2 linked regions of the Styela clava genome follow. The protein of the gene in region 2 purifies or fractionates together with the protein of the main gene of each other region. This does not show direct contact. Links are inferred from orthologs where the notes say so. Each region holds a gene or a part of one and is shown on either strand. Other genes may lie near its edges.

Region 1 (7,461 bases), on a different chromosome or scaffold from region 2:
AACAAACAAGATCCGACAAAAGCTTTGTAAAATACATTCAGCCTCGGGTATTGGTCATAGAAAGCTTTCCTGCGTGATGACTTTGTCAAACGTATCTTTCAACATTCTAATTATAATAAGTATTTAGGTCTGTATATCAGAGCATGTTCTCGATAACATATATTGGAATATTACAGATACAAAATTAAATCAATTATAAACATAGTAAACCTGAATTTTGTCGGTCTTCACACAGAAGTTAGCATTAACACTTTCTGTTGCTGTGAGTAATTAGCTGATCGAACAATATTCGGCAACTAGTAAATAGATGTCTAAAAAGCAAATTCATATTTACATTTTAAATGCTTATTGGCAGCATCTTACCATGTTATCAAACAAATAACATTATCACGTGATAATCACAATTGATAAATATTCACTGAATTACAGAGGGTCATCACTCATTTCCACTAGTAAAGTCAATAATACAGCCTTAGCAAATCGGAAACAGAATTTAATACCAGCAAAAGATGGTCAAAACCAAGCTGTACCCTATAATTCCCTTCTATATAAACAAGAGAGCTATGCTCAAATATATGGACACGTAGAGTCACATAATTTTGATGACGTCATAGCGAGAAAAAAAAGTAATAGCCTTCTGGAGGAAATTTTTATCTTCAACCACTGAAAATTCCAAAGCAATTGGTGCAGTATTCGAAGAGGAAAGCGATTTCTTCAAAACGTGTTGACGGAGACAAATAATAACAATAACAACAAAATTTTGAAACGATCGTTATGTCCAATACGTGTCCAATAACTAAACTTGTTTAAGTCATTGTTTTTGTTCTAGGAAATTAAGATTGACACCCAAACATGACTTTATCAAAATGAATATTATGTTCAGTCAGGTTGTTTTACATACCCCCAAATTCTGAACAATTTCATATTTAAATTGGTCGATAAAAGAAATACAGTATGAAAATCAGTTGACTGGGTAGCTTTCTTTTTGGCATAAAGGATAGTCATACATGCAATAAACACCAAATTTGAAAAAAATTGTCTGCACTTAATTCATTCACACAAATGTAAATGGGTTAGGTTAGCCAGTTCATTGAATTGAACAGAAGTCAATGGTAGTGATGAATATTGTGAGTAACAATATTTTAAACATATAAAATTAGTGGAAAAGTATTATACTGTTAGTCAAACATAATAAATTAATCAACAGTTTCATAAACCTCTTCTTCTTTTTTTGCCTCTTCTGCATCATCAGCATCATCTTGCTCATCGCCTGCTCCTCCTCCACCAGGCACCCACAAACCAGAATCTACACAACGTTTCATATGATATTTAGCTTGCTCTGGTTCGAGAGAAGCGATTATTTTCTGAAGCATTGGAATATCACGCTTTTCGAAACAATCTTGCATTTCTTTCGGAAGGGTTTCAAATACTTCCTGTGGGTCGAGACCACCTGGACCTATTCTTTTCTCGCGTTCCTCTCTTTCAATCTCTTCCATTGCTTTTTGAATTCTGATTTGAGCTCGATCTTTCACTCTCAATTTGAACGCTGCGAGTTCATCATAGAAACCAGTATTATAAGATTCATCAGCTCTTTTGAACTTTTCAAAGAATGAAACGAAACAATTTCTAGGATCTTGTTTCAGAGTTTTTGCTAACTCAAGGATAAACTGCAAAATGATAGTCTGATGGGCGACCGTTTCCATCAAAGCATGTTTTTCTTCAACTTCTAAATCGATGCACCAAATCACGAGGAAGTTTGCAGCTTTGTCACAAACTAAATAAGGATGGTTTTGAAGATATTTCTGAATGTCATCAATTTTTGACATCATCCCATAAGTTTTGAGATCCTTTTCATATTTTTTAGCATATGCTTTTTGACGTTGCATTTGCTCCTCCTCGTTTAGATTTTCTTCAGATTCTTTTTTAGGTTTAGAGATCATAGATTTGCTGAATCCTTCTTTGCATATTGTGTCAATGTTCCATGGTTCCGATTTTTCTTTTTTTGCCAGCTCTTCTTCTTTCTTTTTCCACTTTTCTTCTTGTTTTTTCAATTCAGCAAATTTGGATTCAGCCTCTTTTTTATCAGCTTCTTTCAAAGTTTGCTGCATTAATTTCTTTCGCATTTCCTCAATTTTATTCTTCTCTTCATCCAGCTTTTCCCTCTCCTTTTTCCTTTCTTCCATACGATCCACTCTCGCCTGATGGCGCCATCTGAATAGACTTGGTGTGTCTATATTTGGATGGGTGTCATCCTCATCATCGGAGACCTCAATGTGATCCCATTTGCTGTAATCTAATCTGGCCATGATGCAGTGATGTGAGTAGTACTGGACTACTGGACTATATTGCCTGTAAAAGTTGATAGAATAATATAGTAGATGTGACTGTGTGATGAGAAATCTACTGTAAAACAGAAATAAGTGATATATATATATCAGTACATTCTCCATCATTTAAAGTGTTACACACCATTATGAACTTCAACATTCAGGCATTGCTGTATTGAATAATTGGCTACTAGCCTACCACTATGTAGACCATATCAAAGGAAAATAGGCTATCGATAAAAGTAGGGTACCGAATGTTTCAGTGCACTCGGCACTGTCGCACTACAGCATTAACAATTCTTCAGTTTGTTAAAGTTGTTTCATATCTATTTCTAAGTTATCATATCAGTAAGTATAAGCATCACCTAAATTTTATAACAGTTCTAAGGCAGAAAAATTATTGTCAAGATTCCTAAATTTCATTGTCCAGACAAATGCCCATTTCAGCATTTGGTATCAAATAAAATCCAATCCCTGCAAATGCTCGTGTTATTTCTTATAAAATACAATGACATCAACACATTTACTATTTTGTTTAAACTTACATTCAGACATTTGAATGACAATAAAAATAGAATAGGATGCATATTCTGGATTTTATTCAAGTACCGTATTCTAGAATATTCTAAAATAATACCGTACGGTAACTTATTTTACATTGCCCATGCCATCCCTAGTTCTCACCCAACTATCAGACTATATTCTGGTTAGCTGTATTCCTTGTTTCAATAGACTGCGACACTGCTTAGACTATTCCCTTTTATGGGCTGCCCAGCACCAAGATTTAGCCAATACCTGAATACAAGCTTTGCTCAACCATAGGCTACAATTATGGCTTTACACAAGACAGAGCAACGATTCCACCTCTAGTGGTCCAGGGCTTCGGAGTCGTGGTCAAAATATGGGAATTTCAAAATTTTATTATGACCTCTGGAGTGAAAATTTTCCAAAGGAACTAAAATATATTCATAAATCATAAAATTGTAATAAATAAATAAAATTCCTAACATTGTATTTTATAAAGGCTCAAAGACGCCAAGTCCTTGTCCTCATGTTCTGGTTGTGATTTATTCTAGTTTCAGTTGAACAGAAATTGAACATAAGAGAGATAGGTGCACAACTCAAATGAGGAAACGTGCCAAATTTTTCAAAATAATCTTATCGGGTGTCATGCACAATCGTTGGTATGATCCTTTCCCCGAGCATGGACTTCCTTGTTTATTTCGTGACATCGGCCAATCAGCAAGATGCAAAAAGTGACGTAACAATGCCCCCTTTTCGCATCCGCTCAGACATTTTCCTCACTCAGACAGATTTTCAAGCGTGGTTGTAAACATTAGCTCGTTTTCGCGTTTTTGAACTCTATTCGTTAGTTTTCAGCTGTGTTTCGGAAACATAAATATAAATCAGATAATTCAATGATCCTAGGAGTTTTAATTTAATTGCAGTAATAAAAATTAGTGTAGAAATAGCTGTGATAGACTAGCCTGAAATTCTTCACCGGTACTTTTGAAAACAGATTGTTGTATGCGATGAATCATGATGATGGTTTGAAACACATACTCCATTTTACAGGCGCCAACTCTCAAAAGCACTCTTAAAATAGCCCCGAAAATATTGCACTGGTAAAGTATGGGAAAATTTTTTCGGGGGTCAAAGGTCGGGGTCCCGTAAAACACACATCAAACAAATTTTAATAATAATACATAACAACGAATATTTATTTATTAAAAAAATTTTAATGTCCTGAAAAACTGCTGATTTTGATAGAAACGTGATATTTTAATGCATATCATGAATAAAATTTTTATTTTTACAAAACCATTCGCGTGCCACGTTTGAGCGTATGGCGTACCAAATTTGGCACGCGTGCCACGTGTTGTGCACCCCTGAATTACGGTATGGTTTTTAAAAATTTGAATTTTTTTAAGTAATCGTGAACATGGGGGGAGCTGACTCTGATGACCTTATGGTCGTATCGCTCCCTCCAGTCTATACCGAATTAACTTTGTGAATATTGTATATATTTTTTCGTATACCATTGTTTGTTTTCTGGTTGACAAAACAATGAATCTCTCTCTCTTAGAAATTTAGTAACAAATAATACCTTGTTCACATTTCTAAAAGTTGCACGTTCTACGAAAAAGACGCTCATACTGCAAGAAATAAGCACTACAATCTGCCCTATATTCTCTACTTTTACGGCAACATTGGCCAATGAACGCAGACCTCTGTATGACGTAACATTTAATTTGATCAGCTGTTCGCAGGCGGATGAATCTTATTTTGTAGCCTTTCCATCGTCTTTTTTAGTTTTATTAGTTAAGTTAGGCTAAGACGGTGTAAAAAAGTATAAGTAAGTTATTAAACATTTGCAGATCCTTGCCGTGGATAAAGGCCGTGAGACGAGGCTTTAAATAACGCCCAGCAAATAAGTTTTGTAGCGCACATCTGGTAACTAAATAAATACTTTAGTTTTGTATGAAAATGAACATACTGAACGCATTGCATTACAGCTTGTTTCACAATCCTGATGCGAAATTGTACATAAGGGGGTTTCCAAAAAATTAATAACCATAGGTTCACAATAACATAGCATAGGAACTATGCAATTCAAGAGCTCTGTTGCACACTAACACAAATGTATTTCTGTCACGTTTTGTCTGACCAAAATCAGACTTCCTCAGACAAGCAGTTTACAACAAAAAACATAATAAGAAATTGCATTTATTTCATAGAAGCTATTAAACGTATTTATTTTTAAGCAATGAAGTCACAAATCAACAATCGCGAGCACAAAAACCCAAATAAATCAGGTATTTCTCACTTAGAAATTTACCGAAAAAGTCGAGAAAATTAAATTAATACAGTATGTACATAATGTAGTGAACAGAAATATTACAATTAGACTTTTTTCAGTTTATGTGGTTGTGTATTTGAAACAAAGGCAATATTATTTATAGAAACAGGATTTTCGACACTAACAGATGTCTGAAAAAAACTAATAAATAATATTTATTGAATCAACTTCAATATCTAATTCACTTTCTTCTGAATTGCCTTCGAAATCCACATTCTCGAAAATCGACTTTTCTTCAATAAGTGTACTGTGTTTTTTGCCGTCTATACAAAAACAAAAGTTTGTGCAATTTAGGTTGTTTTTGGCACACATGCATAAATTATTTTGACGCCTATTTAGCTTACACTTGCAGTTTGCCAACTCAAGAACTGATTTGGGGGCTGTAAGTAGATCCATCAATTTAACCCGCAAAACACCATCATCAAGAATGAATTCATGGCCAATAGGTGGGAGAATAATTCCCCTTGGTTCTAGGCAACAGGATGAATCCTTGTCTAGTAATTTGTACTCAGAACATGCTTCTTCAGTGAATGATTGTTGGGTGGAAGAGTATAATCCATATGTTTGCCAGTTTTGAAAAGACGTGCCCTGGTATCATTTTACATTCTTCATATCCTCTTCATGCAGTGAACAAACAAATTCCTCAGCTTTATTTAATAAGGCCTCGTTAACCTCAAAATATCTTTATAGTTGCGGAAAAACTCAATGAATTTCGAGTCCTCCAACATCAGTTTGATGGGCAGTTTCAAGTGCAGAAGAATGCCAAAGTATTTCAATATTAATAGCCCATCTAAGCTGTTTGCAACTGTTATGTTCTCATATACCTTTACGCTTTTCTTCAAGACTTCTTGTTCGATCCATTTTATTTTCACAGGTATAGAGCTGATAGCAGCGGGGATTAAAGCCTGCGTTAGGTTGAATTTGTGGAACATTGCCGTTTTCTTTTGTAGTACAGTATCTAAAATGCGGGAGAAAATCATATTTGGAACAGCATGAGTGTAAAAATACCCCTAAATACTGACTAATACTTCTCATACATAATGCATTTTATCTGATGTACTACAGTCCTGTAGTGTTTGCATACTAGACTATATCTTCACTGAATCTCTATATATCACAGTCTGAAATGCCCTATGGCCTATATTTTAAAACATCAACTGTCGGTCTACAACTTGATTTCTTACCTCTCAATCGCTTCAATGCTACTTTCTTTCAACTCCGGCATAACTTATCATTGCTTCCCAGGTTCTTGTCGACTCCATGAATTTAGACCAACTGATATAAGTAATATTGATTATTCTCCCCTTTTTCACACAAACGTGCATTACAGAAACAGCCATTATTTTCTGAAACAAATATGTCGTAAGAGAGTGAGATTTATTGCCACAAAAACAAAATCAACACTAATATAAACAATAATAGATAATAATATAATGAAGAAAATATTTCATCAGTAATAAACAGCGATTGATTGTTGTTTTGTGCGGGTCAGTGTGCAGGACCGATTAAGGTCATCTAGGCTCCCGACCCTTTTGTAAATGCTGTATATAAGGTTATCATGGCATAATATAGTACCATGGGTAAATGCAAATGGGATAAAATAAAATATATATAAGATAAAGAAATGAGTGAATGAGTAGCCTATGATAGTAGTATAAGTCTGCTAAATAGTCAAGAATCGTCATTAAATTAATCATAAATCTTTCTAACAAACTTGAAAATATTGTATGTTAGTCGTTGTTTGTGACATATTATTCTAGGTCTAGCATACCTTGGGAGTTACCGTACCCTAGCTATTTACCGTTTTTTGAATCTAGTGCTCAACTGAAATTGCTATCTTTGGTAAAGATATACAAATGTCTAATAGCTTACTTATACTTTTTAACACCTTCTTAGAAGAAATCAACTAGCCTAATAATACCTGAAAAAACTACCGTATGGAAAGGCTACTCAACGCAAAAGCGAGCAGTACATCTGATATTCATCCGACCACAGGGGATCCACCTACAGCTGGCCAATTTTGATTGTTACATCATGCAGATCGTAGCGCATATTTCTTGTAGTAAAAGCGTCTTTTCCGTAAAACGTGCAACCTGTGGAAATGGGAACAATTCATTATTTGTTACTAAATTTCTAAGGAACATTTTCAAATCATTTTCAGGTAGTTCCCTTATGTGCGCTACGAAACTGAAAGATAAACGGCCTCGTCTCGCGGCCTAACCGATTTCCAGGTAATTGTTTATTTCTTACTATTATTTGTTTATGAATTTGGCG
Region 2 (7,010 bases):
ATTTAAGATTTCATTGATTTCATCTTTTTTGATTCAACAAATGACAGATTATTATGCCTCATGCCAAGTCAAAAGGGTTATAAATTTAGAAGTTGGATACCAATGCTAATTTGTACTAAAAAAAAATTTTTTTTAATTTTTAATTTATTGCAAAGAGTTCGAATGAGAATAAAAAGGTATTATTTGTTGAGTCATTTGAGAATATAACAGTGTAGTGTTGGTTTTCCAGAAGATGAGGAAATATTTTAATGTGAAAAACTTCTTCTCTGATTTTAATCAATTGAGTTTAATTGATTGAAAAAAATTTATAGATTCACAATTACAATTTTTCTAAACATTGTGAAATTAACTCAAAAAATCAAATTTTAAAATCCTTACATAACTACCAAAATGAACTATAACAATAACCTAAAAGTAATAATGTTAAGTGAATTACCAATTTGTTGCAAAAATCTTTTCACAAAAAATTCAGGTAACATTCTTCTTGTTGAAATAAATCTTGATAAATCTCCTCCAGCACAATATTCCATGATAATATATATGTAATTTGAATCCCACTAAAATAATGAACACAACAATAACTTCAGTTCAATAATAATATCAATCACTGAAACAAACTATTTGACACAGGTGAAATTGACAAATCTGCTGGTTCTATCAGGCGTACTGAGCTCCTTCCAAAATTAGTACTACTCAAATGGCTTTACATAAGCCTGCATGGCTCAGTAAAGCATCTAATGCGAACTAAAAAGTTGACAAACAAAACCAAAATATTTATAAATAGTTTTATAGTAACGCTAATGTAACAGCCGTCAACCCAAAGAGGAATATAGTCAAAAATAAAATAGATAATAAAAGTATTAATCTAGGCATTATTAGCGAATTATAAACTTCCTATCCCAAAAAATTGGTTAGATATGTATGGTACAATAGTAACCCTATAAAAGCAACCAATTGTCAAAACAGATTATCTAACAACCATCTGGTAGTAAGATGCCAAAGATATTTACGTATAATTAGGTATATTTTTCATCTTTTCCCTTGCCTAGGGATAAATAAATGACCCAGTTGTGACCGACTCACAATAACACAAACTTTGGTTCCAAATTGAAAATAGTTAAGAGCCGAGAGAATAATGAGGGTTTCAAGGTGTTTTCTGAAACTGTGTTCCCACTTGAATTTGATTAAAGCTTATGAAAGAATTTGGAAAATCATGGTCAAGTCCGACTACATAACCTTCCAAGCTGATGCCTGAGCAGTGTCTTCTGTTTTAGTTTTTCTAAAGATGGCAAAGTATTTATTCTATTAATATTACCTGGAAGTCGAGCATTTTAACAATATGAGGATGATCGATTTGCTTCAATATCTCTATTTCTACAAGTAAATTTTCCATCGATGCTCGGTTTAGACTTGATTTTTTGATACATTTTATTGCATGGACTTCTCGCTGATCACTGCTCTGAAATATAAAATTATTTATGCAATTATGAAAGAATAAGATTGGATATTTTGACAAGAAAGCTTGACAAGTCAGGTGGAAATAGGAAAATTGTCCAGTCTATAGGATGTGTTAAAATATTTAGTTGGTTGAAATTCATAGAGGGACGTGTAAACAACAGGTAGCATGAATTACAACATACATGGTGGACAGATGTCATGAAATACCCTTGACGTTATCATCCACATCTTGAATTTAAAAGCTTCAACCAAAAATTAGCAATGCAATATTTCAAATTTTTCACATTCATAGATACGTTTTACAAGGTAACAAATCATAAATTAGGTGGAAATGTTGAACCCAATTTTGTCACCACAGATATCAAATGTATGGTATCTCCCGACGTAACACACACTACTTGTCTAGTGCCTTGTTTGAAGTGAAGGTATGAAAAGTATTTGAAACTTGCACAAAATATAACAGTGGATGATTGTATAGGGCAGGGATGCTCAACTATTTTCACCTAAGGTACGCATACAAAACTTCAAAATTATTTGGATCCGGTCTTTCCAGAAAATATATTTCCGCTTCCTTAAACGCCCATTTTCTTGGCTGGCTAATGATTATTAGCTAATCAAGATTGATTATTATGGGGTTATAGTTCTTTTCATAATATTCAAAATTATCAAAGTGATTTTATAAAAAGAAGCTGCAAAAGTGGGGCTAATGATCCAAAATAAAGAATCAGTTGCAGTCCGAATCAAATACTCGAGAAAAGTCCAGATTCGGACCGCGGTTCGCCATTAGAGTAGCCCTGGTATAGGCTCCTGTTCGAAGCAAAAAGCCCGAACAAGCATTGTTAAAAAATAGGGTCTGGTATAGTTTAGTACCACATGTACTTCTAGTTGACCTGGCTCAACAGTTTTTGCATATGTCAATCCTAACCCCCACCTGACTACGCCACCAAAAAATTACATCATTTCGACGTCACAGTGGCGTAATAAGGCCCACCGAAGTATGCGGATGATCGTCCAAAACGCACAGACGATCACCCGAAATCGAGCAAGCAATCTCTCTCGTTTTCTCGTCACAACGATCACTATAGGAGAGAGATCGCCGGCTTTAGCAAGTTCGTTATCGGCGGCGCAGATGTCATTTCGGGCGATCGTAATTATACTTTGGCAATCCCTATGACGTGATGGTGACTTCGTAGAGACGTAATTTTTGGATGACATAGTCAGGTGGGGGTTAGGAATAGCATATGCAAAATTCTTTATGCTACGCCCACCGGAAGTACAGAAGTACCTGTGGTACTAAACTATACTAGACCCAAAAAATAACTATGCTCACTTTTTTATAAGCTTTATATACATTCGCATATGTTCCGCTTCCCAAGCGCTTTGTAAACACGAATCCATCCAAGTTAGGTTGCTGATGTGGTTTTGTTTTCAATCCCAGAGATTGTTCTGATAATTTGGAATTCCCATGATTCATCTTGACAAGTCCTTACATCCAGACATTTGATGGCAGGATTTTGAATTCTTGTATTTTTATATTTACGATACCTGTAGATAAAATGGTGCTTCATCAAAAAGCCTTGCTGAATAGGGTCTGTATTTTTTGTGACTTTTTTATGAGTGGGCACATGATATTTTTCTAATTTTCAACTCTTTGCTAGCTTCCAAAAGTCTTCATTTTTAATTTGCGCATATTATAGAATTTTCAAAAGCAATTGTAATTGTTGAAAGTAGCTGTTAGGTACACTGCATGGAGGGCAGAATATTAAAATAGAAAAATTCGGTAACTCCCCGGTCGGGGTCTACGTCTTCAGAGGTCCAGCTCTCAATAATATTTTGGTATTGTGCAGTCACGCGACCGAGCAAAGATAAATCAATCAGTTTGTATTTATTCCGCGTAGGATTTTTTTTCAATTGGGAACACCAAAGGGTATATATATATATAGGAACACTGGACATATCTGTTTGTTTTGCTTGTCGTCGAAGGAATTCAACGTCTGTTGGATCATTGCAGTCCGGTTTAATTTTACAACCGCGATACTCAAGACTGGAACAGGCTAGTCTTTTGATGCGATGAGTGAATGGCCAGCAATTTGCTGTGGAGTTTGTCGTATCTGTTGTTTCACGGTGAGGCTGCAACTTTAATCGTTGTATACCGGTGACGTTTTACAGTTTTAGGTAGTCCAGATCATTTGGATCTTCACTTGAATAAATGTTTCCTTTCAATTCGATTTTAAATTATTTTTTAAGCTTTTCCCCATTTTTTGTATAGGCTATTTAATATTTTTTGTATTAAACTCATTTTGTAATAAATCGCAAAAATAACTTATTTTTTGAAGCAAAGTGCTATAGAGGTAATCCAATATCACTATTCAGGTGTACCAGAAATGCTGCTGTATCAAAGAACCTCCTGCAATACCTGTGTATGATTTGTTATGCCTAGGAATAACAAATGCTGGAAAAACTACTTTACTGAGTGTCCTTACATCAGAAAACATTGATGCAATTGTACCCACTGTCGGTGAGTTATTTTTTGGTATATTATATATATATATTATTATATTTATGGTATATTATATAACTTACTATGCTTTGCCTTATGTTGGTTTAACGAAAAATTTCGAATCTAATCTTCAATTTAACGTCAGTCTCAAATCCCTGACTAATATTTCTTGCATAAAGGTTTCATCATCAAAGACATCAGACTGCCAAATGCTGTGTTGAAAGTAAAAGAACTTGGAGGTTTGTTCTAAATATGACCAATTATGATTATTATATGACATTTGGAAAAATTTTTGTTTAAAATATGGAATGTAGAACAACCTGCTTTTGCTTAATGATTGATAGGCTAAGTAGAGTGAACATTTGGCACATTGTCCCTAATGAAACGAGTCAATACAACATAGTATTCCCATATAAGTGACGGTAACCTTGTTCAAACTGTGCATGGAGTAACGTCATTAATTTAAAATTCTTTGTATTCTTTCATGAGGCATCTAAGATTAGCTGTGAGACGCTCATCTAAGTTTAAAGTATGATTTTGAAATGTCTTTATTATCTTATTCAGGTGCGGTATCAATCAGACAGTACTGGCATAGATACTTTAATGATGTTCAAGGTGTTATATTTGTTGTTGATGGTTCCTGCACACAAGATGAACTTCACGAGACAACAGATGCATTATATAAAGCAATACAAAACCCGGAACTCTCAACTAAACCTTGGCTAATCCTTTGCAATAAACAAGATCTGGAGGGTGCATGTACAGAGGAGAGAGTAAGTGCATACTATATTGCATTTTTTCACCCATTAGATCAGGGATATAGCGGTACAATGCACAGAAATTTGAGAAAAAAACTATCTGAACATGTATGAGAATTGAGCATAATCTTGTTCATATAGAAATATATTTGGAACACTTTAGGCTTTTAAACAATATTGTCTAGATCGGGGCGTGTCATATTACCAACATAAGACATATCTAGCTGGGTCGCACAAAAAGTTTAATTTTCTATGCACACAACAAATTTATTATTACGGTACATCACAATATAATGTGGTAAACCAGCATTCTAAAAGCCTGCAGCAACGAAATTAGGGACATCTAGATAGAAAAAAGAATGCAGCTATCCCTTAACCTTACAGTTCCAAAGGCGCCAAGCAAAACGCAGCTACAAGAGCAAAAAAACATGTATTTTACCCATGTGAGCGCCTTTTTAAAAAGTTTTATGCTCGATATGAAAAATCTTGAGTGTTGACAAGGGCCACATGCCACACACTCCTGCTCTGGATCGCATCTATTTTTGCCCATGTTGAGCGCCTTTTCAAGCAAATCTCGTGTGTTGACAAGCGCCATGCGTGCATACTCCTGGTCTGGATCAAGATAAATTCTTAACCAATTCATGCTAACCTGCACAAATGACTTGGCTTTTGTATAAAGACATGCTATAATTTATTTAGGCTGTAGAAGAAATGAATCTTACTGAAATGTTGAAAGAAAAACCAAATATCATTGTCAAGTCCTGTTCAAAGACTAATCCGGATGGATTGAGATCCATTATTGAAAGATTTGGGAACAGACTGAATGAAATTCATAACCCAGAAATGAGGGAAACTTTCGATGCTGTGTGACAAGCACTGGGGACGCAAATTTATTATTGCATGTGGAACAAATCGCTTGATAACTCGAGAAAAAGGGTTTTTGTGGATTTGGAGACAATACTGTAACCAGCTGATTTCATATAACCCCATTTTTGGTCTATATCTTCTTGCATGATAGTATTATTCTGACTTTAAAAAGTATCATGACCAATTGCTGTCGTAATTTTACAGAAAAATAGTACATAGATCAGCTTACACTGTGCATGTATCTCATTTTAGTTTTATTACCTATTTTTTCACAAGAGAACAAAAATATCTATAAATATACAGGACTTATGACAAATCATTTCATTGCTCTTCTTGAACGTTTATCCCAAGAAAAGTTAGCTGCGTATGACTTCGGCTGCATTTGTTTTTCAACCGGTTCCTCTATGAAGTATGACCATCCTAAATATTCGAAGAATATTACGTAGGTTATTAATATCAGCCAGTGGAGTTGGGAGAATAAGAGTGTTTCTAGTTTCCACGTCAAAGGGTATTATCGCTACTTTGGTGCTGAAGACTAGATGGGCTAAGAACGTTAAACTGGTGATTTAGGCTTCTAAGTGTTGCAGGAAATCAGAAGTTACTTTCCTACCATTCTGAAATTACAGAATGTGGAAAATGGTATTTCAGGGTGAAAATAAACAGGAGCAAACCCAAGGATATTTTTAATCAACTAATTCGGAGTCACTGCAACATTATATAAATATCGAGTCAAATTTATTTGTAAAAAGACAAAAATCACGCAAAAAATGATATTTACATTACTGGGAAAGGAAAGCGGGGGAACCAAAACTGGTTATCGAGCAGCAAGATTCTAACATCTAATTCAACAGCTTGGGGAGAAGAGTTTCAAAATGACTGATATCAATGGTAAATACCATATGAATTTTGCAACTAACACCGATTATTACTAGAAATTATTGTGTAATAATATTAAATGAGCCATAAGACCGGGAAATTCCTGTTTGCACTGGAATAGCTGGGGATTTTTGATGGTGACATGATTGTATTGTGGAGTATTCGGCAATGAACACCCATAACGAATATCAGGTACAATGAATTAAATAAAATTAAGTGTATTACCTTGCCTCTCCACGAACTCCATTGCATGCTCTTTGGTTTTGAAACTCATAGCCATTGATATATTTGAGAGAGGATCAGAACTGAGAATATTAGAAACTATGTTAGTAGCAATTAGAAGCAAACTTTTTGTTTCCAAGAAAACCCCATTCCCACTGGTCCATTTGCAAACACGTAAATCCATGTGTGGCTATCACCACAAGACTACTGAAATATATTTCGTGAAAACAATAGTTTATGGCGAACAGTATCACTTGATAATTATATTTAAAGTACAGTACTTTCGTACCATTACCACCATTAAATGCATAAAAATAGGCCGTGTGGCA

Evidence for each region. Proteins that work in one complex are often made in the same cells at the same time.
Region 1: the proteins of serine/threonine-protein kinase ULK3-like (region 2) and hsp90 co-chaperone Cdc37-like purify together in Homo sapiens (affinity purification with mass spectrometry; 3 studies listed by BioGRID and IntAct, with this or other methods). This does not show direct contact. The link is inferred for Styela clava from reciprocal best matches to the Homo sapiens genes ULK3 and CDC37.

What each region holds. Positions count from the first base shown.
Region 1 is NC_135253.1:13,560,479-13,567,939, reverse strand, and holds hsp90 co-chaperone Cdc37-like, read right to left. Parts: upstream 3,028-7,461; 5' UTR 3,012-3,027; intron 2,350-3,011; 5' UTR 2,307-2,349; coding exon 1,197-2,306; 3' UTR 311-1,196; downstream 1-310. UniProt on the Homo sapiens protein: Co-chaperone that binds to numerous kinases and promotes their interaction with the Hsp90 complex, resulting in stabilization and promotion of their activity. Inhibits HSP90AA1 ATPase activity.
Region 2 is NC_135257.1:17,387,814-17,394,823, reverse strand, and holds the start of serine/threonine-protein kinase ULK3-like, read right to left. Parts: upstream 3,032-7,010; 5' UTR 2,933-3,031; coding exon 2,789-2,932; intron 1,460-2,788; coding exon 1,316-1,459; intron 558-1,315; coding exon 437-557; intron 1-436. Other genes in the region: ADP-ribosylation factor-like protein 15, read left to right, coding at 3,529-3,582, 3,832-3,976, 4,138-4,197, 4,523-4,731, 5,416-5,586; NADH dehydrogenase [ubiquinone] iron-sulfur protein 4, mitochondrial-like, read right to left, coding at 5,900-6,003, 6,685-6,764. UniProt on the Homo sapiens protein: Serine/threonine protein kinase that acts as a regulator of Sonic hedgehog (SHH) signaling and autophagy.